4 linked regions of the Schizosaccharomyces pombe genome follow. The protein of the gene in region 2 interacts with the protein of the main gene of each other region in a pairwise test. Each region holds a gene or a part of one and is shown on either strand. Other genes may lie near its edges.

Region 1 (2,868 bases), on a different chromosome or scaffold from region 2:
ACGAATATTATACTTGCTACAGTACATAATAATAAAGATATTTTTTTATAGTCTAAAATGAAAATATTCTTGGACGTCGACGTCGCCGTGGACAGATACTAGGAGCCGACATAATAAATAAGGTGTGAACTTCATTGATAGTAGGAGTAAATATACAGCAACTAAAGTTGAGAAATAACTTGATCCAAAGCATTGCTACATTTAAGAGCTCCGCGTAATGCATTATGAGCAGCAATGGTCGTAGAAACTACCATACCAGAACCGTCCTTTTTTTCTTTAGCTATTTGCAACACACAACTACCTCGTGAGTACTGGTTTGTGATAGATAATGGCTTTCCAAATTCTAAATGTTTAGCCAATTCATTAGCATGTAGACAAGCATCCGTAAGCTGAACCAAGGTTGTCCTATCTGTAGATTCTGGAAAACAAAGCACCTCCTCTAAGTTTTGATCAGCAACGTATAAAACAGTTTTTTCCTTTCTTCATTTTTCATTAGTATGGTTGTAATTTACTTTACTGAGAACTTACGATGCTAACTCGGACAATTGCTGTGAAACTGACATTTTCGACTCGATTTATTTACTTTTGATGCCTCGCACTATTTTTCTTACTGAATTAGGCCAAAATTCTTCTTCCAACAAATTAAAAAACAAAACAAAACAAAACGACTGTCTGTGCGGTAAGCTGAGGGTTTCTGATGTATCGCAAAGATTGCGTCTAATACTCCTCTGTTCAAGTTACGTGTACTGCGCACATATGGTTATGGTACTGACAGGGTGATATTACGAACTGCTGTAAGTCCTTAAAACTACATAAAGAGAGTATGCTATGCCTCGTTATATATACGAGCAAAGTTTTTGACGGTTTCATTAAAATCACTTATATTATATTATTTCTGCCAGCATCCTTTTGTTACGTTTGGTCGACCCGTGATTAGAGATAAACCCAATTGTTAAAAATATACATAAAACCTCTGTAATAGAATATTTATTATATTTGGCGATCCCGGTGCATAAATTCCCACTGCATACAATGATATGCCGATTATATAATAGAACAAGTTAACAAAACGATATTTGGTCCTTTCATATATCCTCATATGGAATTGCACTAACTTGCGTAGTAAATAGCTGTGGATATTTACACTGAAAGTACGAGTTGTATTGACTGTGGAATTTCTAGTATTTAATGTCAAAACAAAGTTGAGTGCAAGGATAGGTAGGAGGCATTATTGCGGAATTTTGATTATAAACACGTTCAAAAAACCCCTGGAGCCATGTCAGTTACAAATGCCAATAAACTTCGTTCTTCCGCATTCCTGTCAACGAACATTTGGCAGTCCACACGGAAACGAAAAAGCAGTCCAATTTTTTATGAACAAATTAGCAGGTAGTTTTAAGAAATTAAAGAAATAGAGAATGACTACAAACTGATAATTATTAAGCGGACAACGTGGAGTTCTCATGGTACATCGTAGCCTAAAAACTAAGGATGTTACTTGAAAGCTCACTGCTACTTTAAGGTAGATGCTTTAACAATATGCCTACTCTCATTCCACCGCAACAGTGCTATCGGTTTAATAAAAAAACCAAATTGAAAGCAATCTTTGCGCCATAAATCTATAAAAATGTCTATGTTTGGAATCGGAAAGAATAATCAGACCATTAATCCTCAGAACATTGCTATGGCTGAGCAAGAGGTTGAGATGATGTCTGATATCTTTAATAGGTATGCTTAATAGAGAAGCTAAGGATTGATATTTACAGCCGTCTATTTTTACGTTTCAAAATTCATCGTGAATTTAAGTATTCGAAGGGTTGTCAAAAAGTTACAAAGTCTCAGTACATACCTTGAAAGTAGTGCTGTACTCGTTTAAGTCAATTGTACTGCATACCTAGCTTTTTTAAAAACTATGGTACTTTGGTAGACTAATTTTTGGCAACGTAATATTATTCCAATTTTACATAAGTATTTGTTTACTTCTTTAATACATTTACATTGTTTTATCTTATGAAAAGACCAATCCGACGAATTTCTAAAAATTTTTCTACAAAAGTCGCTAACATTCCTTTCTAGACTTGTAATGACCTGTCATAAAAAGTGCATATCTCCTAAATACTATGAAGCCGATTTAACGAAAGGAGAAAGCGTGTGTATTGACCGTTGTGTATCGAAATACTTTGAAGCAAATCAGAGTCTTTCACAGCACATGCAAAAGCGTGGTCAAGAAAATCCAACACCATGAGCCCTTTGATTATCAACACATCTACCATTGTAGTATAAAATGGGTCATGTCCGATCCTATGTTACGGATGGAATGCTTTAAAAATTTCTCTACGACTTTTGGGATTCTCATTATACAATAAATAAAATTAATTTATAGTATTATTTTGAATAATGGAATGAAACCTGTGCGCACATCCGTGATATGGTGGTTCATACAGAAATAATTTCGTTCTTTTTTATTTGATGTCGTGTTAAACCATTTACGATACTCTATAATCTATGGAATGATCAACTTCTCTCTTCTTTTTCAAACGAAGCAATACTAATTATTAACTCTTTCATGACACTCTTTCTATCGTATTTCAAACGAAAGTTCCACCAAGCCCTCAAGTTTTCCCATCTGTAATTGTTGCTATTATTATTAATCACCCGTTCTCAAACTGAAACCTTTTACTATTCAACCCATGATTTAGCAGTCATTTGTTTTAGCCGAAAATTACTCATTACGCTATCGTTTTCTAGACTCTAGGAGATGTAAATAACTTATGTTTTAGGAAATAGTGTCCCGCTATTAGCCCCCACGGAAGCTGTCGTTTTTGTGAACTTCTTGGAAGAGATGCCTCATGCAGCGCCTCCTTGAGA
Region 2 (5,237 bases):
GTGCTGCTGGTTACAATAATGTTGATGTCGACTGGGCTACAAGAAATGGTGTTTACGTCGCAAATACTCCAAACGGACCTACAGAGGGAACAGCAAATATGAATTTAATGCTCTTTATGTGTACACTCCGTGGAGCTCGAGAGGCAGAACAAAGTCTTCGCCTTGGCAAATGGCGTCAAAACTTATCGCTGACGGACGATCCATATGGAAAACGAGTGGGCATTATTGGGATGGGCGCAATTGGCAAATCTTTTGCTCAAAAAATTCTTCCTCTAGGTTGTGAAATTGTATATCATAATAGAAATCGCCTGGAGGCAGAGGAAGAGAAAAGACTAGGTGCGTCTTTTGTTTCTTTCGATGAACTGCTAAGCTCTAGTGATGTAATTAGCATTAATTGCCCTCTTACCCCAGCAACTCACGATTTAATATCCACGAAGGAATTTGAAAAAATGAAGGATGGAGTTTATATTATTAACACAGCTCGTGGTGCAATAATTAATGAAGATGCCTTTATCAAGGCTATAAAATCTGGCAAAGTTGCTCGTGCAGGTCTCGACGTGTTTTTGAATGAACCTACTCCCAATAAATTTTGGTTGGAATGCGATAAAGTAACCATCCAACCACATTGTGGTGTATATACCAATTTTACGGTTGCTAAAACAGAGGAATGTGTTTTAGCAAGTATTGAAACATTTCTTGATACAGGAATCCCCACCAATCCAGTCAACGGTCCGTTCGGCATGAATGGTTGTTGATGCAAGTCAAAAGTCCTTTACATCTACACAAGTAAAGTATATGTTAATAAAAAATATTCATTTTTATGTTGTTGCTTTTTGTGAGCACGTATCTGTAAAGAATACATATGAGAGATTCTGTCATTTTGAATGCTGCTTTTTGGGTCAGCCTGTTCAAACTTACATAGTTGAAAAGATTATCACATCCTTATTTTTTAAAGCTAACTATTTATTATTCACTTGTTAAGATGCTCCTCCTCTCAGGGAAAAGTAAAAGTAGAAGTTCATTTTCCAAAATGGGACTTTACAGAAAAATTGAATATCTGATTCCATTTCAAGGATTTGGAAGATATTTATCTTTGCGTGCGTATACTAGACATGCTCGCATAATTTTATAGTAGGATGCTAGCAACGGTGATTAAATTGGCAAGTCGAATTATCTTAGATCTAAGGCTAAAATCATAAACTGCTATAATCTTTTAGATATCAGGCTACTACAAACTGCTGTTGCCAATTTAAAATGGTATGGTACATGAATCGATCCTTCGATAAATGTCTATCTAAGTGTTCGTATTAGTCAGAATATTTTGGTTCCGAACTGATATCCTCCCGCGTGTGCATAAAATATTCCATTTCATTCAATATCAATTCATAAACTAGTCATTAGATGAAGAAAATATTTCTAGTTCGTATTATTTATATAAGCATACGTAGAACCATAAAGTCAGGCAGACTAGTTCCTAGTTTTGGCTTGAGTAAGTTCAATTTCACTTCGACGAAACTGGCGTTTATCAACGTACAAATTTAATTCTTTCCTCAATTTAAGAAAAATGCCTCTTTTTTTTAACTTCGTAATATCTATACGGTAAAGACATGTTTAAAATGGTATAATCTAATGAGCTATGTAGTTTTCATCTTATCAACTGCAGCTAAAGATGGGTTGCTTCAATATCGTGTTTGATTATCTGCAAAATGTCCGACATCTTTCATATTGATTACTATTAAACTTTTTTTTTTTTTTCAACCAGAATAGTATCGACTGGTTACCCTTTATCAAACTTGTGTGACTAGGTTGAGTTATCAATATGGACCATTCGTAAAGCCCACAGCAAAACTCATTCGCAACTAGTCTGTGTTTAATATATACAGCAATTGACAAGATTAAGCATAAATATATAACTAAAAAAGACTCACATTTTTAAATGAAAAGGATCAGAAATGCTTGTGAATTGTGCAGGCGTAAGAAGCTAAGATGCAATGGTGAATTAACTTGCCAAAATTGTATGGTATATGGCGAAGAGTGTCGTTATGTTAAGCGGGTTAAACATGACAATCGAGCAGCAGTACAAGAAAACGAAAGGTATCCTATACTCTACACTCCGCTCAGCACTTCAGATCATGATAACGACGAAGAGAATGAAATCAATGAGTTGAAAAATGCTGTTAAAGCTTTGGATAAACGTTTTGATAATTTCGAATTAAAGCTAGAGGCTCTTTTCTCTTTATTAAGATCTCAGCAGGACTCAGAGAGGAAAGTGAAACCCGGGGGTTTTCCATCTTTGGTTTCACAGATTTTGAGTGCAGGGGCTCTCGTGGATTCAAAATTGCAGGCATACACTATGAGAACCAATTTTTTTTCTAATGGATTTAGCAGCAACGATTTATTCCCCCATAGCTTTCCTACTTGGAAAAGTGCCTTTCGAGATGTTCCAGACAAAGATTGGGCTAAAACATGCTTGGATTGGTATTTCAGATTTATCAATTGTAATTGGCCTATATTTTATAAGAAACAGTACATGGAAAGCTTTGAAAAGTTATATATAGACAAGAATTTGGTCAAGGGTGCCTGGATTGTCTCGTTCTATGCTATTTTGGCTTTGGCTGTATCTCGAGACAAAAGAGTCGATAATAGTAAATTGGCGGAGTCTTTTTTTGCTACTTCCTGGTTTCTAATTCAAAGACCTGGCTTTTTTCTCACACCGCAACTCGAAAAAATTCAAGCATTAGTGATCATGATTCAGTTCGCAAGTCATCTGTCGTTGTACAATCTCTGCAAAAAACTTTGCGGTCAAGTTTGTTTGATGGTTAAGGATTTAAATTTACACAAAGAAAGTACAGACAAAGATCTTGACCAAGATATGGCAGAATTGCATAGACGAATATTTTGGGTATGCTACATTTTTGAAACTACCACATCCTTGATTTTCGGAACCCCTCCCGTTTTGGGAGATCTGGAAATTGAGTGCAAATACCCTGACATTAATTATGCTCATTGTTTTGCTGAAAACGTCCAAGGAGATTTAATATTTACATGTGAAATATCGTTAACCGTTTTGAAACACGAAATAAGGACTAAGCTCTACAATAGTAATAATGTTTTTTTAGACAAAGGTCAAAAGGGTGTGATATCTAACATTCAAACAAAGATATTGAATTTTGAAAGAGCCATTCCTTCTGAAATGAAGCATTATTTTGAGATACTTAAGGCAGGTAACGGGCTGCCCGAAGAACTGGATATTATTAAGCAACATTTTTTTACAGCTTGCGTGGAAATATATCTGTCATATTGCAATACACTTATTTATTTATATCTCGCGGACGATAGCATTGAAGGATCAAAAATTTGTTTAAGCACGGCTAGAGCAGCTATTGACGTTATTAAGGGATTTTTGGTGGTTCTTGATCCTATTTCAAAAAATATTTGTTATCTTTGGCTGTTTCTTTATTGTCCGTTTACACCTTTTTTGACGGTTTTTTCACATCTTTTGGAAGACGACGACTTGGACGCTGATATATGCGTCAAGGACGTTGATCGGTTATACTCTATTCATGCTTTTTTTTTAAAAATGAAAGATATCAGTGGAGAATTTGCTGAGAGGTTATCAGTTATTACTGAGAATTTTATTCAATCGGCTGAGCAATATCTTGCGCTGCAAAATACAAGTGTGTTTGGGACATTTGATGCCTTGAGCGAAAGTTTTTCAATTTAATATTTATATACTAATAATTTAAAGGCTTAAATATGTCCTTTTATTTGAATGCTTACTGTATCGTGTTCTTATCGCTTACTGTTTTCAAAGCGCATGCTTGATATATATATGGCAAGTTAATTTACTTTGACGACAAGTATCGGAAAATATTTATGTCGTGAGGATTCTATGTACAATATAATGGTTTTAATCAATATATATTATCACTTTAACATTTTTTGATCGATTCATTCACCGGGCAATATTATCTCAACAATTTCTAATCTGACGGTTTGCGGGTTTTCCAATTTAGCGAGAACATGAAATAACTTATAGCTCATATGTTATGTTATAATTAGCCAACGACTTCGTAAATTTGAAAAATTAATGCTTACTTAGACTGGTTGTCCTATACGCCCAGGTCATCACTTTTTAGAATTTTCTAGTACTTTTAATATATTGGTTGTTTTCGGTTATTGATAAACAGTTCTTGAGCTGGCTTGAGTCTGCGATGCTATCATTCATGATCAATAATACTGTAAACAACCATTTTTAATATTCATTGTGGACCACAACATGGGAATGATTTTTATTATTATAGTAAACTAGCTACTGGTAAATTATTAAAGAGAAGTCGAAAATATTACAACCAATTGACCGAATCTTCGTTAAGGACATGCATAGTTTAAGACACTCATCATCTTATTTAGTGTTGTCAATACAGTGGATTTCAATAGACAGGATAATCAGTATAATAAGTAAATATCGATAGAAGAACCGATGCTATTTGTTGGACGTTACAGAAATTCATTTGTAGGTTCATAGTGACAAAAATTATATGTCAAATACTTTAAGAACTTATAGGTCTTCGTCAAACGGGTATTAAACCATCATCATTCTGGCTAGTGATGCTTAAGAAATCAGGAATAATTCTACCTCAGCATTGTACAAACGAAAATGCTTACATGTCTATTAACATACCCAATTGATATTTCCCACTTAAATCAACAAACGGGTATACAATTTGATACAAAAATTAGACTAATAGAACTAGGAATAGTGTACGTGACCTGTTCTTTTATAATTAAGAAAAAAACACAAGTTCCAATTTATTAATTAACTAAAGAAGGTAATAGGGGATCTAGTAAAGAGGTTTACAATATACTAATAACTTGACTAAAAGAATTGACTAATTATTATTCCTTCATCAATGCACACCGGTAAAAAACAGTAAAAAAACAAAAAAATCAATAGAAAATTAAATAGAATAACGAAATTCGGGATTTTCAAAGTCGGTCAAATCCTTTTTGTCTTCCTCACTCAATTCATTTGATAAATATTCGTTTTTTTCATCCCTTCTGCGATTCTCTCGCACATTAACGGCATAAATAGCAATAATAATAAATATAGCAACGCAATAACAAACGACAAATGATACTTTAGCTCCTTGGTATTTTGGAGCTTGTGTAGACCTAAATGTTTGGGGGCCGACCATATTTCCAACGCAATATCCAATCATGGAAACAGCGCTCAT
Region 3 (5,200 bases), 3.4 Mb from region 2:
TAAAATATAACGTTTAGCAGAGTTAACAAAATCGTTAAAAGCGCCTTTTCGAGTTCGAATACCGGTTCTAGTAAAATCGGTTTTCAAAGCTCCTGTACCAGAATAAGAAAGACTAATGTAATCTGCATTATCAGACCAAATGTTGCAAAAAATGTTATCAAGAGGAATGACGGAACGAAGGGGATGGGTAGCACCTATAATTCCGCATTTACGAAGTTGATTCGTAAGCACCCAGCGACCTATACAGCTTTGGACCACATTGGTTCTATCAAGACAATCCATGCAGTTGGAGCGTACAACGCCATTCTGACGAGATAAAACACGGTACTTTTGAGTGTCTAATGTAGTGTAGCCTTGCTCTTCTAACTCGGGTTGTATTTCATTTAAAAGGAGTGAAACCCGGTCCCACCTCATATGGCTACATTCTTTATGAAAGTCAAAATAATGATAATGGATATGGGGATTATCCAAACGACGTATAACATTTTCATATAACTGTTTAATAGGAAGCTCATGTCCTTTACAGTTGACCAAATTAACTACAACCTGGTCACCGTATATGGATATTTGCTCGTCGAAATGCTTTTTTGCAGCGGCTGCAGCCATTGAAGCAGAATTTGCAACCATCAATGGTTTATAGCGAAGATTATTAACCTCTGCCCAAAAAGCAGGAACACTACCGCGGGTCTGAACATGTGAATAAGTGACCTCTGACTTTTCGTCTGAAACGATAGTAATCTGCTCAGTTTCATTGAAGTTGGCGGGGTTTCCATTCTCGTCTAAACCTCTGGTAAAATATCTAGTACCGGCGCGTTGTTTAGAGCGTCGAGATATTAATGCTAACGTGATTGTTCGTCCCTTAACAATAGTGGAAGCAGAAGTGATGAAGCCGTAAATCATTGGCGTAATGAAAAGTGATACTTCAGAATGGGCACCGATAAGATCAATGAAATCTTTACTAGCAAACTCGTTCCAAAAAAATCGTTTATCACTTCGAAGAATAGGTGAGGCCTTTCCCTCATCCGTACAAGAACGTTGTAGGGAGTTAGTAAGGTCCCATGTGTACGAGAAGTAAAAAGGTCCTGTTTTCAAATGATTTTGTAACAAATTGTATAAATCCAATTCATCTTGATCGTCAGCTAGTAGGTTACGATAGGGAATAACTTCAAATTTATGAACACGATATATTTTATGTCCCAAAATTTGGGCTGCACTAGATTTTTCTGTAGCTAAAATAAGATATTTATCTTTTTTCAGCTTGATTGAACCAAACAATGTGACACTATTTTCTTTGCTGCGGGCAACTGGTTTCAACTCGTCCGGCTCAAAACTAACTGCACCACTTTCTCGGTCAATTGTTAAACAACAATCTTCTCGACGAAGCTTAAATTGCTTCTCGTTTGCTTCAAACTGAACCATGAAGAAATTTTCTAAAGTTTTTGTAGGATAGATACCAAGATCTGTGAAGTTGATGGTTGGTAGACGGCAGACAACGAACCTGCTTACTGCTGTACTGTAACATACGGTTTTCTATGCTAAGTCATGTGGTATTATCGTAGATAGAATAAATGACATTTTCACTATGATTTATCAATTACTAAATTTGCTAGTAAGTATCCATCCTCAATAAAATATTATACTACAATGATCATATTGAAGGTCGCTGAATTATTCCTAGGGTATCTGGTGTTTGTTTAAATATTGAGAATAAATATCTCATTGACATCTTAAAATGTAAAATAATTAACATGAATACTTTCAAAACTTAATTGCCGTACACATAACTGCTAACGCACTTTCACCTAAATATGGTAGATGCTCTTGGTCATGTTGTGCTAGCCTTGTAAATACAAATTTCTTCCACTACCATTTACCAACGGAGTTCCAAAGGACACTCTGAAGAGTGCTTTAGAAGAATAATACATATTTGTAATATTAATAGTAGATACTTTGATTATTCTTCACGTTGAAATCACTATACTACTGTGATCTTCGTTTTGTGGTTGAATCCTGAGGATTCACTCGTTCATCAAAATTTTCATTTTTGAAAAAAAGAGCGAAAACATAGTTGATTTATTCCATTGAAACCTTTTAAATTTTTTCTTTTATATTTTTTTCAAAAAAAGGATTACAATTATCTAGCTAATAGCCGACTTTGGCGATATTTTGGGTTTGATTTGGGAAATTGACTTTGGTGCAAAAAAATAATTTTTTCCATACATACTTCTGATTAGTTTCCTGTTCGTTCTTTCTTTTATTTAAATTTAATTAGCAACATGGATATTCATCGTTGTCGCTTTATCGACTATACCCCTTCAGCTATTACTGCAATGGCATTTTCCCATAAAAGCGGTCAGAATGATTCTATGCCTAACAATTTACTACTCGCTGTTGGACGTGCTAGCGGAAACATTGAAATATGGAACCCTCGAAACGATTGGTGCTTAAAAACTGTGTTATACGGTGGTGTAGATCGCAGTATTGAAGGGATTGTTTGGAGTACCGGTGAAGAGGAGCTACGATTATTCAGTATAGGATTTTCAACTACTATTACTGAATGGAATTTACATACTGGAAAACCATTGGTAAACCAAGACTCTAATGCAGGAGCTATTTGGTCAATCGCTATATGCGATGAAACTAAAACTCTAGCTGTTGGATGTGATGATGGAAGTTGCGTTCTATTTGACATTAGTGGTGGCCCAGGTGTCATCGAATTTAAACGAGTTTTGATGCGCCAAACGTCTCGTATCCTTTCGCTCGACTTTCAAACAAAAGATCATCTTGTTGGTGGTTGCGCTGACGGTGTTATCAAAGTTTGGGATCTTAGCACTCCAAATTCCGCTATAATTTCTAGAATGCAAGTAGATCGTGCTCGAAAAGGAGAAGCTGCTTTAATTTGGGCCGTGAAAAGTTTACGGGATGGCACTATCGTAAGTGCCGATTCATCAGGTGCTGTTAAATTTTGGAATGGAAAATTCTTTACATTAAGCCAATCGTTCAAACTACATTTGGCTGATGCTTTGTGTTTGGGTGTTTCTGCTAACGGAGATATGGTATTTTCTTCAGGGATTGACAGGAAAACTATTCAGTACTCACGCGAAGGAGGTAAAAGAGAATGGGTCAGCAACAGTTTTAGAAGGTTCCATTCTCATGATGTTCGATGTATGGCCGTTTTTGAATGTAAAAGTTTGGATGTTCTTATTAGCGGTGGTATGGATATGATGCTTGCGGTAATTCCTGTTCGACAATTTAATCGCAAGAATCACAGGATGATATCTGCCGTTCCTCAACGCCCTCGCATGGCGGTCGCACCGAAAGCAAGGCTTTTTATGTTATGGAATGATCATGAAGTACTTCTCTGGAGAATTGGGTCTCCTGGCTATAGGTTTTTATTAAAAATTGTGTTGGCTGACGAAGAAAATATTTCACATGCAGCAATTTCTCCTGATGGGGAATTAATTGCAATTTCTTCCGTTTTGAGGACGAAGCTTTATCAATTACAGTATAGCGATGAAAATGTGAAAGTTGAAACAGTTGAGGACTCCTTCCTTTCAAATATTGGTGCTAGCCTGCTTAGTTTTACTGTAGATAAGAACAAGCTTATCCTTGTTAGTAACGATTCCGAGATATTTCTCATTGAATTAAGTCGACTGGATTCTCGTCAGCTAGAAGTTTTCGAGTTATCACAACCCACTAGCAAGAAAATTGCTCCTCGTCAGCGAAGCAATGTAAGCAGCATGTGTGATGGTATTTGCAGTATAGCGGTATCTTCGGATGGAGATTATTTTGCTGTTGCGGACACAGTTGGAAATATTTTCTGCTACTCCTTGTCAAATTTAACATATTCAGAGTTACCACGAGTTAACACTTATGTTCGTGCAATGGCTTTTCGTCCAGATGTACGAGGCCGTTTAGCTGTTGCTACGGCGGGAAATCAAGTTTATGAGTTTGATGTTCAATCCCGTAAATTATCTGAATGGTCAAAAAACAATTCTACAAATATGCCCAAAGAATTTTCGCAACTTCTAGATAAGGCATTCGGAGCATTTTTCGACTCTAAACATCCGAGTCGATTCTGGATTTGGTCAGCCAACTGGGTTTCATTTTTCGATCTTAATCTTCAATTACCAGCGCCTCGCGCTGCCGGAAAACGTAAAATTGAAATGAATGCAACAGTTGACGGGAATCTGAATGACAAAAAATTGGCGAATGCTAATTCGAACGGCATTTCAAATTATGGAACAGGGGATTCTAGGTGTTTCTGGATTACTCACAAATATCGACCAATGCTACTTGTAGGCTCTGTAGGAAACTCTGAATTGCTGGTAGTCGAACGACCAATCGCCGATATGTTGATGAGTAAATCAATGCCAGCAAGCTTTTATGAGCACAAATTTGGCTCGTAAATATGTATTATGTATGAAGATGGAGGAGTTTCTTCGTACTAAAAAAAACGAAGAGGTTTTAATATGTCATTTTACGTAAAAAAAATGTCTGGAATAGGGTGGTATTATTATGATTTTGTACAAAAAGGTCTTTTATTATAGGAGTTTATTTTATTTTTATTTTTTCCGATAAAAAGCATAGATTAGTTGCTAGTTAGTTTATCAATAAAACATTTCAAGGTGACACACCCATCCACAATATGATTATGGCAATGTAGCTGTGAATTTCCAAAGTCTGAGTTGTTTATTCCCATTATCGATTGGAGCATTATGCCTGTAATATGGTTTCACTTGATTCTAGGCAGATAGGCGTACAATTTTACGAACCCAAATTTTTTGATTAATAGACTTAACACGGCGAACTAAAATTTAACCGAACGCTATTTTTGTTACACCACATAATTAGAAAATTACTCGCATGAGGATAATTAAAAATACTCTGGTAAAATTAAAATTATTGTAGAAGACAGCTTGTATTTAAAGAGTAGCAATTACCATCTACAACTTATAAAGAAAACATATTCAAAGTAACAGAATCTTACAAAGGATATATATGCAAATGAAACGAAGAAAGCTCATACATGAACCCGTCTACGTTTCTAAACTTGATTACATTTGATATATTCAAAATAAAATAAAGAAGTGAAATAAGTGATTGACGTAAAAAATTATTTTCTTGCCGATGAGATTATACATTCGTTTGTTTATTGAAATTTGTTCACAACTTAGATAAATCTGTTTAGTAGTACCAG
Region 4 (5,905 bases), on a different chromosome or scaffold from region 2:
AAACGCGTCAATCGATAACTCCTTCACATGTTTTTTGAGAAAATAGCTAAAACTTTGCAATTGTGCCTCAGTGCTATATTCAAAGCATTTTTGTATCAGAAAGTTTCCGAACTTATTTTTCATTAATGTAACAGAAAACGGAAGAATAGTGTTAATGAGATTAATATTATCCTCAATATCCTCATTCTTAAGTTGCTGTTGCAGAGATAGTGAGGCTGCCTGATCATTTTGAAAGATAATTTGCTCTATCATAGCCTAAAAAAAGAATCATTAGCGAAAGGGAATTTCAATTACATTATGAAGCTTAAATTTGAAGAAAGACTTACCTTCCATTTGCTTATGGTTGCGCTGTACTGTAAAGTCTCTTTGCCAGAATGCACAGAGTTTTTTTCAAACGGCTCGGTTGTTCCATTAGGAAATTCATAAAATAGATTTTTATTTGTTGACTCTCCTGGATCCAAAATTTCATTACCCTTGCTTGCAAATGACATTGAGAACGGCGAAATAAAAGAATAACCGAGATCTATCGGGTCGATTGTTTCATTTTTACTCCATAAAGGAAACTGATCGGTATCATTTAATTTTTTAGGAACCACATTGTCTTTTGCGTCATCCAAGGATTTTGGATGAGTCGAAAAACAATTGTTGGTGCCATTGCTGTTTGTAAAAATTCCAGAAGACAAAGAGCAATTATTTTTGCTAACGGGAAATGTGTCCTTGTTTTTTAGATTACAATTTGTAAGATAGGGAGAAGGCTTTACGCAGGAAGAAGTGGTTGACGAAGTCAGATTTACTTCATTAGATAGCTCTACAGACAAAGTCTCAGGAAGTAACTTAAGCGCTGGCGTTCGTCGAAGAGTTAGGAAACTTTTTGGATTCATCTCATAAATCCTTTCTAATTCTCTTATTTGATCCTTCTTCTTCTGGACCTCTAGAGTAGATGACTCAATCTTTTTTTGCTGCTCCGAAACGAGAGTTTGGAGATAAAGAATTTGAGTAATCAATTTTTTAACATAGTTTACATCATTTGGTGTTTTTGGGAGTTCTAAAGACATTCCAAAGTCAATGGGTCTTTCCTCGTCTCTCTGCATACTTTGGGTATGCTCTTTTAAAAGGCAGAAAAATCAAACAGTAAAACCTAAATGCAAAACTAAATTAATTAAAAAGACTTACTGAGATCAAAAGAGAATTATCCAACTTCCCTTGCCTGGACAAAAAATATGCTTTGGGCGAATTCTGATTAAGGGATTGGAACTTTTGTTTACACTTTTTAAGTAAACAAACCACCAACATTCTTCACGTTCCCTTGCATACAACGAGCCAATACTTCCTTTGATAGTTTTCATAATATATTGATAAATTGATTTAGAATAATATGTATATACTTAACTTTTCCTTTTGTATGCAGCCTTCTTAGATATAAAAACTCAAGTTAGACTTTACTTCAAGAATGATTCATACAATTGAAAGTAATTTACTAAAAAAACATTTAATTTGTGTTTTATATTATCGGTTCCATTACTTTTAGATCTTTAATATCACGTCCCGACAAGAATTACTATCAGATTCACCTTAATAGAGTACGAGTTTCTTTGAATCGTAAACTTTCTAAAATTATGTTGAGGTATATTTACAGATAATCCATAAACCATGCATGCCGAAACTGTTATAAAAAAAAAAGCTAATAAGTTATAAGTTAATATTCTCGTCCATAACTTTAAATAGTACTATAAAAAGGTTAATACATTAATGGGTAAATTTAAATACGCTATTTGCATTAGCACGCTTCACCATATTTTGTAATCTGAGAATGATATACACACAATACATAACCTATTAGATGTATCACATACGAATAACTTCCTTACGAGCAACGCTGCCTTGTCCCATAGACTTCTCTTTAAAAGAAAGAGTTTCCTTTTATTGAAAAAGGATACTGATGCATTGAAAATATCCCAGTACTAATATATCGGGTGTTTTCTATTATCCTTAGTTTTTTGAGACTCTCACGATTACAATTTTGTTTTGTAGTCTGCGTGTGTGTGTTTAAAAAGTAAATATTTTATCATTGTGTACAATATTTTGTTTTAAAAGATATTTTTGAGAAAAGAAAACTTTGGTTTTGACAGTATCGGTTAGATAATTTATCATACTTGACTATAGCTAGATTTGTTTAGCTTTACATTATCCTAAACTCAGAAAAGAGAAGAAAATGGATTTAGTGGAATTGGATTACTTAAGTGCATTAGAAGATTTAACGTTTAACAGTAAACCTATCATCCATACTCTTACTTATATCGCGCAGGAGAATGAGCCTTATGCTATTAGCATCGTGAACGCCATTGAAAAACATATCCAAAAAGTATGATTTAACCTTGATTGAAACATATGTGCTAACTCTTATTTACAGTGCCCACCTAACTGTAAACTTCCAGCGCTTTACCTTTTAGATTCTATTTCTAAGAATTTAGGAGCTCCTTATACTTATTTTTTTGGCCTTCATCTTTTTTCGACATTTATGAGTGCATACACCGTAGTAGAACCCCGTCTGCGCTTAAAACTGGATCAATTATTAGCTACTTGGAAACAACGTCCACCGAATTCAAGTTCTTTGGAGCCCGTATTTTCCCCCATAGTTACAGCAAAAATTGAAAACGCATTACTAAAATACAAATCAACAATTTTGAGACATCAGAGCCCTTTACTTGCTAATACTTCAATTTCATCATTTTCTGCTCCTATTGACGCTAATATTAACTCCTACTCCTCATTTTCCGATCCGGCATCTTCGTACAAACCGTCTTTACCTTCTGTTCCATTTGGCTTTCAGCATATTTCGGGCACCAGTCCTTCTCCTGGATTTATTACACTGGACTCTCTTTTATCTGATGTTAACCGAATGATTGTTACAGAACAAGCTAGATTTATTAAAAATCCTTATGACAACATGGCTAAAAAGCGGTTTGAAATACTATTACAACTCAAAAATGTGCTGTCTTCTTCCGCACTACCTTATGACCAATTGCTGGCTATAAAAAACCAGCTGGCACAATTAGAGAAGCCGGCTTCTCCTTCAACGAGTTCTGTTGCTACGTCTGCTCCCTCCGTGCCTTCTGCATTATCATCTATTTCTTCGACTCCTTTTATGAAACCTTCTATTCCATCTACCATTCCTACAATTCCTTCTGCGTATTCGGCTTCTGTATCTTCGCAACCTCCACTCACTCATTCATATGTCCATCCAGGTCCTCAAAGTCACAAGTATTCGTTATCTTCAGGGCCGCCGGCATCCTTATACAACGCGAACGCGTTAACGCCTGAAGAATCGTCTAGTATAGATTCTCTTTTTGCTAATCTGCAAGCTGCAGGGTTGGTTCCGCCATCTGCTGGTGGTAAGTCTCAAGGTCCACAAGCTTCTTGTACTGAAGCTGTGTCTCTAACAGCAGACATTGACCTTTCTAAATCTTCGCTCGCTACTCCTCGGCCCAAGCTATCTTCTTTGTTATATGAGAATTATTCTAACCAATGCGCAAACTGTGGTAGGCGTTATGGAAATGATCCTGAAAGTAGAAAGGAGTTGGACAAACATTCAGATTGGCATTTTCGGATCAATAAGAGAATTCGTGAAAGTAGCCTTCATGGGATTAATCGCTGTTGGTTTGTGATGGAGGAAGAATGGGTCAATAGCAAAGAAGAGGAAGATTTAATTACAGAGACTGCTCAGGAAATCGAAGAACAGCGTCAAAAGCAAATGGAATCCGTTAGGTCACAATATGTATTGACACCCTTAGATCCAATTGCTGCGTCCGAGCCTTGTCCAATATGTCAAGAAAAATTCCAAAGTGTTTGGCATGAGGAAGCTGAAGTTTGGGTCTTTATGAATGCAGTCGAAGAGGAAGGCCGTATATTTCATGCGACTTGTTTGCAAGAAGTACGCCCGTCAGAAAACAAACATTCAAACACAAATACTAGTACACAAAATTTAGCGGAAGCAGCTGTTTCGTCTAATATTAAAAATGCTACGGGTGACGCTTCGAAGGACTCTCAACCTGATGTTCAAAATTTGTTACAAGGCATTGATATTCAAAGTATCCTTCAAGCACTTGGTAAACGCAAAGAGAGAGACGATTCAATGGATTCAATGTCTTCTAAAGTTATTAAACAAGAAAGCAAGTGAGTTTTGTTTTAACCTCATTTTTCTCGAGCTTTCGGATTTTAGCAATAAATTTGAATCATGTACATACAAAAAATATTTCTATATAATCAGCTAAAATATGAGTTTTACATACTGCTTATAGTAGTATAGCAAACTAAACAGTTTACCGAAAACTTTTGGGTTCAGAATATTCTATATTTATATCCTACGAACACTAGGCAAAAATATCTAAGTAATTGAAAAAGAAAGGGGCCCTTCAGCTCTAACCTAAAAAAAATACTTACTCAGCCTTCTCAAGAATAGCAACGATCTGCTCCCAAACTTGCTCAGGTTTTTGAGCAGCATCAACAGCAGCCCATTTACCCTTCTTTTTGTAAAACTCAACGACAGGAGTAGTTTGTTCGTGATAAGTGACCAAACGCTTGCGCAAAGCATCGGCGTTATCATCGGAACGTTGGATAAGAGGCTCGCCAGTAACATCGTCTTTCATAGGAACTTTAGGAGGATTAAATTCCAAGTGGTAGCTACGGCCAGATCCGGGATGGACGAGACGACCAGTGATACGTCTGACCAAAAGTTCATCATCAACTTGTAACTCAAGGACAGTATTCAAGTCAAGTTTGAGTTCATCAAGAAGAGCGGTAAGCTTTTCAGCTTGGACGACAGTACGGGGGAAACCGTCCAGGATGAAGCCGTTCTTGCACTCAGGATTGTTGAGGATCTCATCCTTGATCATACCAGTGACAATGTCATCGCTGACAAGACCACCCTGATCCATGATCTTCTTAGCTTCTTTACCGAGCTCAGTTTGACGAGCTACTTGAGAGCGCAACATGTCACCAGTAGCAAGATGGGCGATGCCATATTTCTTCTGAATGTTGGGGGCCTGAGTGCCTTTTCCAGCACCTGGAGGTCCAACTAAAATAAGTCTCATGCCAGCCATATTTGATCAAATTGGGTATCTATGCAAAAAAAAAACGAGATTCCACAACAAAGCGGTATTTGGTAGTAGTCTAAAATCGGACTGAGAAGTAAAAGAAGACCACCTAATTTTTATAATAGCGAACTTTAACAAGTCGTTATATTATTGTTGGTGCTAAACCAAACTCAATAAACAGAGCAGAAGCCTGGGGTAAATAGAACAATAAATTTATATTATTTTTATCTATAACCAAATGCTAATAAAGGTTTTCTACGTAGCTCCAAAAGCACGAAGCAATGCAATTAATGATTTTAAGCATAAATGTAAATTCGTATCACTCTCACAATTAGTCTTAGGCAAAAGTAGTGACAGAGTATAGTAACTAAACTAAAAATAAAACTCTGATCCAAACCACGAACGAGAAGCCGGATTCGGTTTCTTTTTCTGTGTAAAGTTCAAAGTAGGAGTATCGTCATCTTCGTGCCAATCTATTTCAATCGAAGACTGTGATTTGGAAGGTAATTCTAGTAAATCCTTAGCGGTTTTCCATGAATATCTAACTATGTCTCCCTTCCATCCGAAAATTTTATCGACATTTACTTTTAACCACTCGGTAGTTCGAGCGTCAGAAGAATATCCAGAACCCCAGTTCTCAGTTCGAATACTTTCACGAGCGCATTCCAGTTGAATATCTCTAGTAACTTTAGCACAGATAGAAGCTAAACTCACGATGGGAAAAAGGGAATCTGCTTTTTTAGTGACAGTGACTTTCGCTTGAGGAAAATGAGCTTGTAATTTTTCCTGGTATGATATTGGAGGTCCTACTG

Evidence for each region.
Region 1: the proteins of SPOM_SPBC1773.16C (region 2) and tim10 interact in a two-hybrid assay, tested with the Schizosaccharomyces pombe proteins (one large-scale study listed by BioGRID).
Region 3: the proteins of SPOM_SPBC1773.16C (region 2) and utp4 interact in a two-hybrid assay, tested with the Schizosaccharomyces pombe proteins (one large-scale study listed by BioGRID).
Region 4: the proteins of SPOM_SPBC1773.16C (region 2) and pcf11 interact in a two-hybrid assay, tested with the Schizosaccharomyces pombe proteins (one large-scale study listed by BioGRID).

What each region holds. Positions count from the first base shown.
Region 1 is NC_003424.3:947,341-950,208, reverse strand, and holds tim10 (Tim9-Tim10 complex subunit Tim10), read left to right. Parts: upstream 1-1,556; 5' UTR 1,557-1,627; coding exon 1,628-1,728; intron 1,729-2,076; coding exon 2,077-2,245; 3' UTR 2,246-2,333; downstream 2,334-2,868. Other genes in the region: Ragulator complex subunit Lam3, read right to left, coding at 162-480, 529-563. UniProt on the Schizosaccharomyces pombe protein: Mitochondrial intermembrane chaperone that participates in the import and insertion of multi-pass transmembrane proteins into the mitochondrial inner membrane.
Region 2 is NC_003423.3:317,180-322,416, reverse strand, and holds SPOM_SPBC1773.16C (transcription factor), read left to right. Parts: upstream 1-1,851; 5' UTR 1,852-1,936; coding exon 1,937-3,724; 3' UTR 3,725-4,723; downstream 4,724-5,237. Other genes in the region: gor2 (glyoxylate reductase), read left to right, coding at 1-755; dal52 (dipeptide transmembrane transporter), read right to left, coding at 4,962-5,237.
Region 3 is NC_003423.3:3,702,951-3,708,150, reverse strand, and holds utp4 (U3 snoRNP protein Utp4), read left to right. Parts: upstream 1-1,865; 5' UTR 1,866-2,276; coding exon 2,277-4,409; 3' UTR 4,410-4,695; downstream 4,696-5,200. Other genes in the region: sac11 (inositol polyphosphate phosphatase), read right to left, coding at 1-1,419. UniProt on the Schizosaccharomyces pombe protein: Involved in nucleolar processing of pre-18S ribosomal RNA. Required for optimal pre-ribosomal RNA transcription by RNA polymerase I together with a subset of U3 proteins required for transcription (t-UTPs).
Region 4 is NC_003424.3:2,255,129-2,261,033, reverse strand, and holds pcf11 (cleavage and polyadenylation specificity factor), read left to right. Parts: upstream 1-1,847; 5' UTR 1,848-2,212; coding exon 2,213-2,362; intron 2,363-2,410; coding exon 2,411-4,177; 3' UTR 4,178-4,436; coding exon of another isoform or gene 4,437-5,099; 3' UTR 5,100-5,357; downstream 5,358-5,905. Other genes in the region: mpf1 (meiotic PUF family protein 1), read right to left, coding at 1-255, 327-1,091; adenylate kinase Adk1, read right to left, coding at 4,437-5,099; ribonuclease H2 complex subunit Rnh201, read right to left, coding at 5,466-5,905.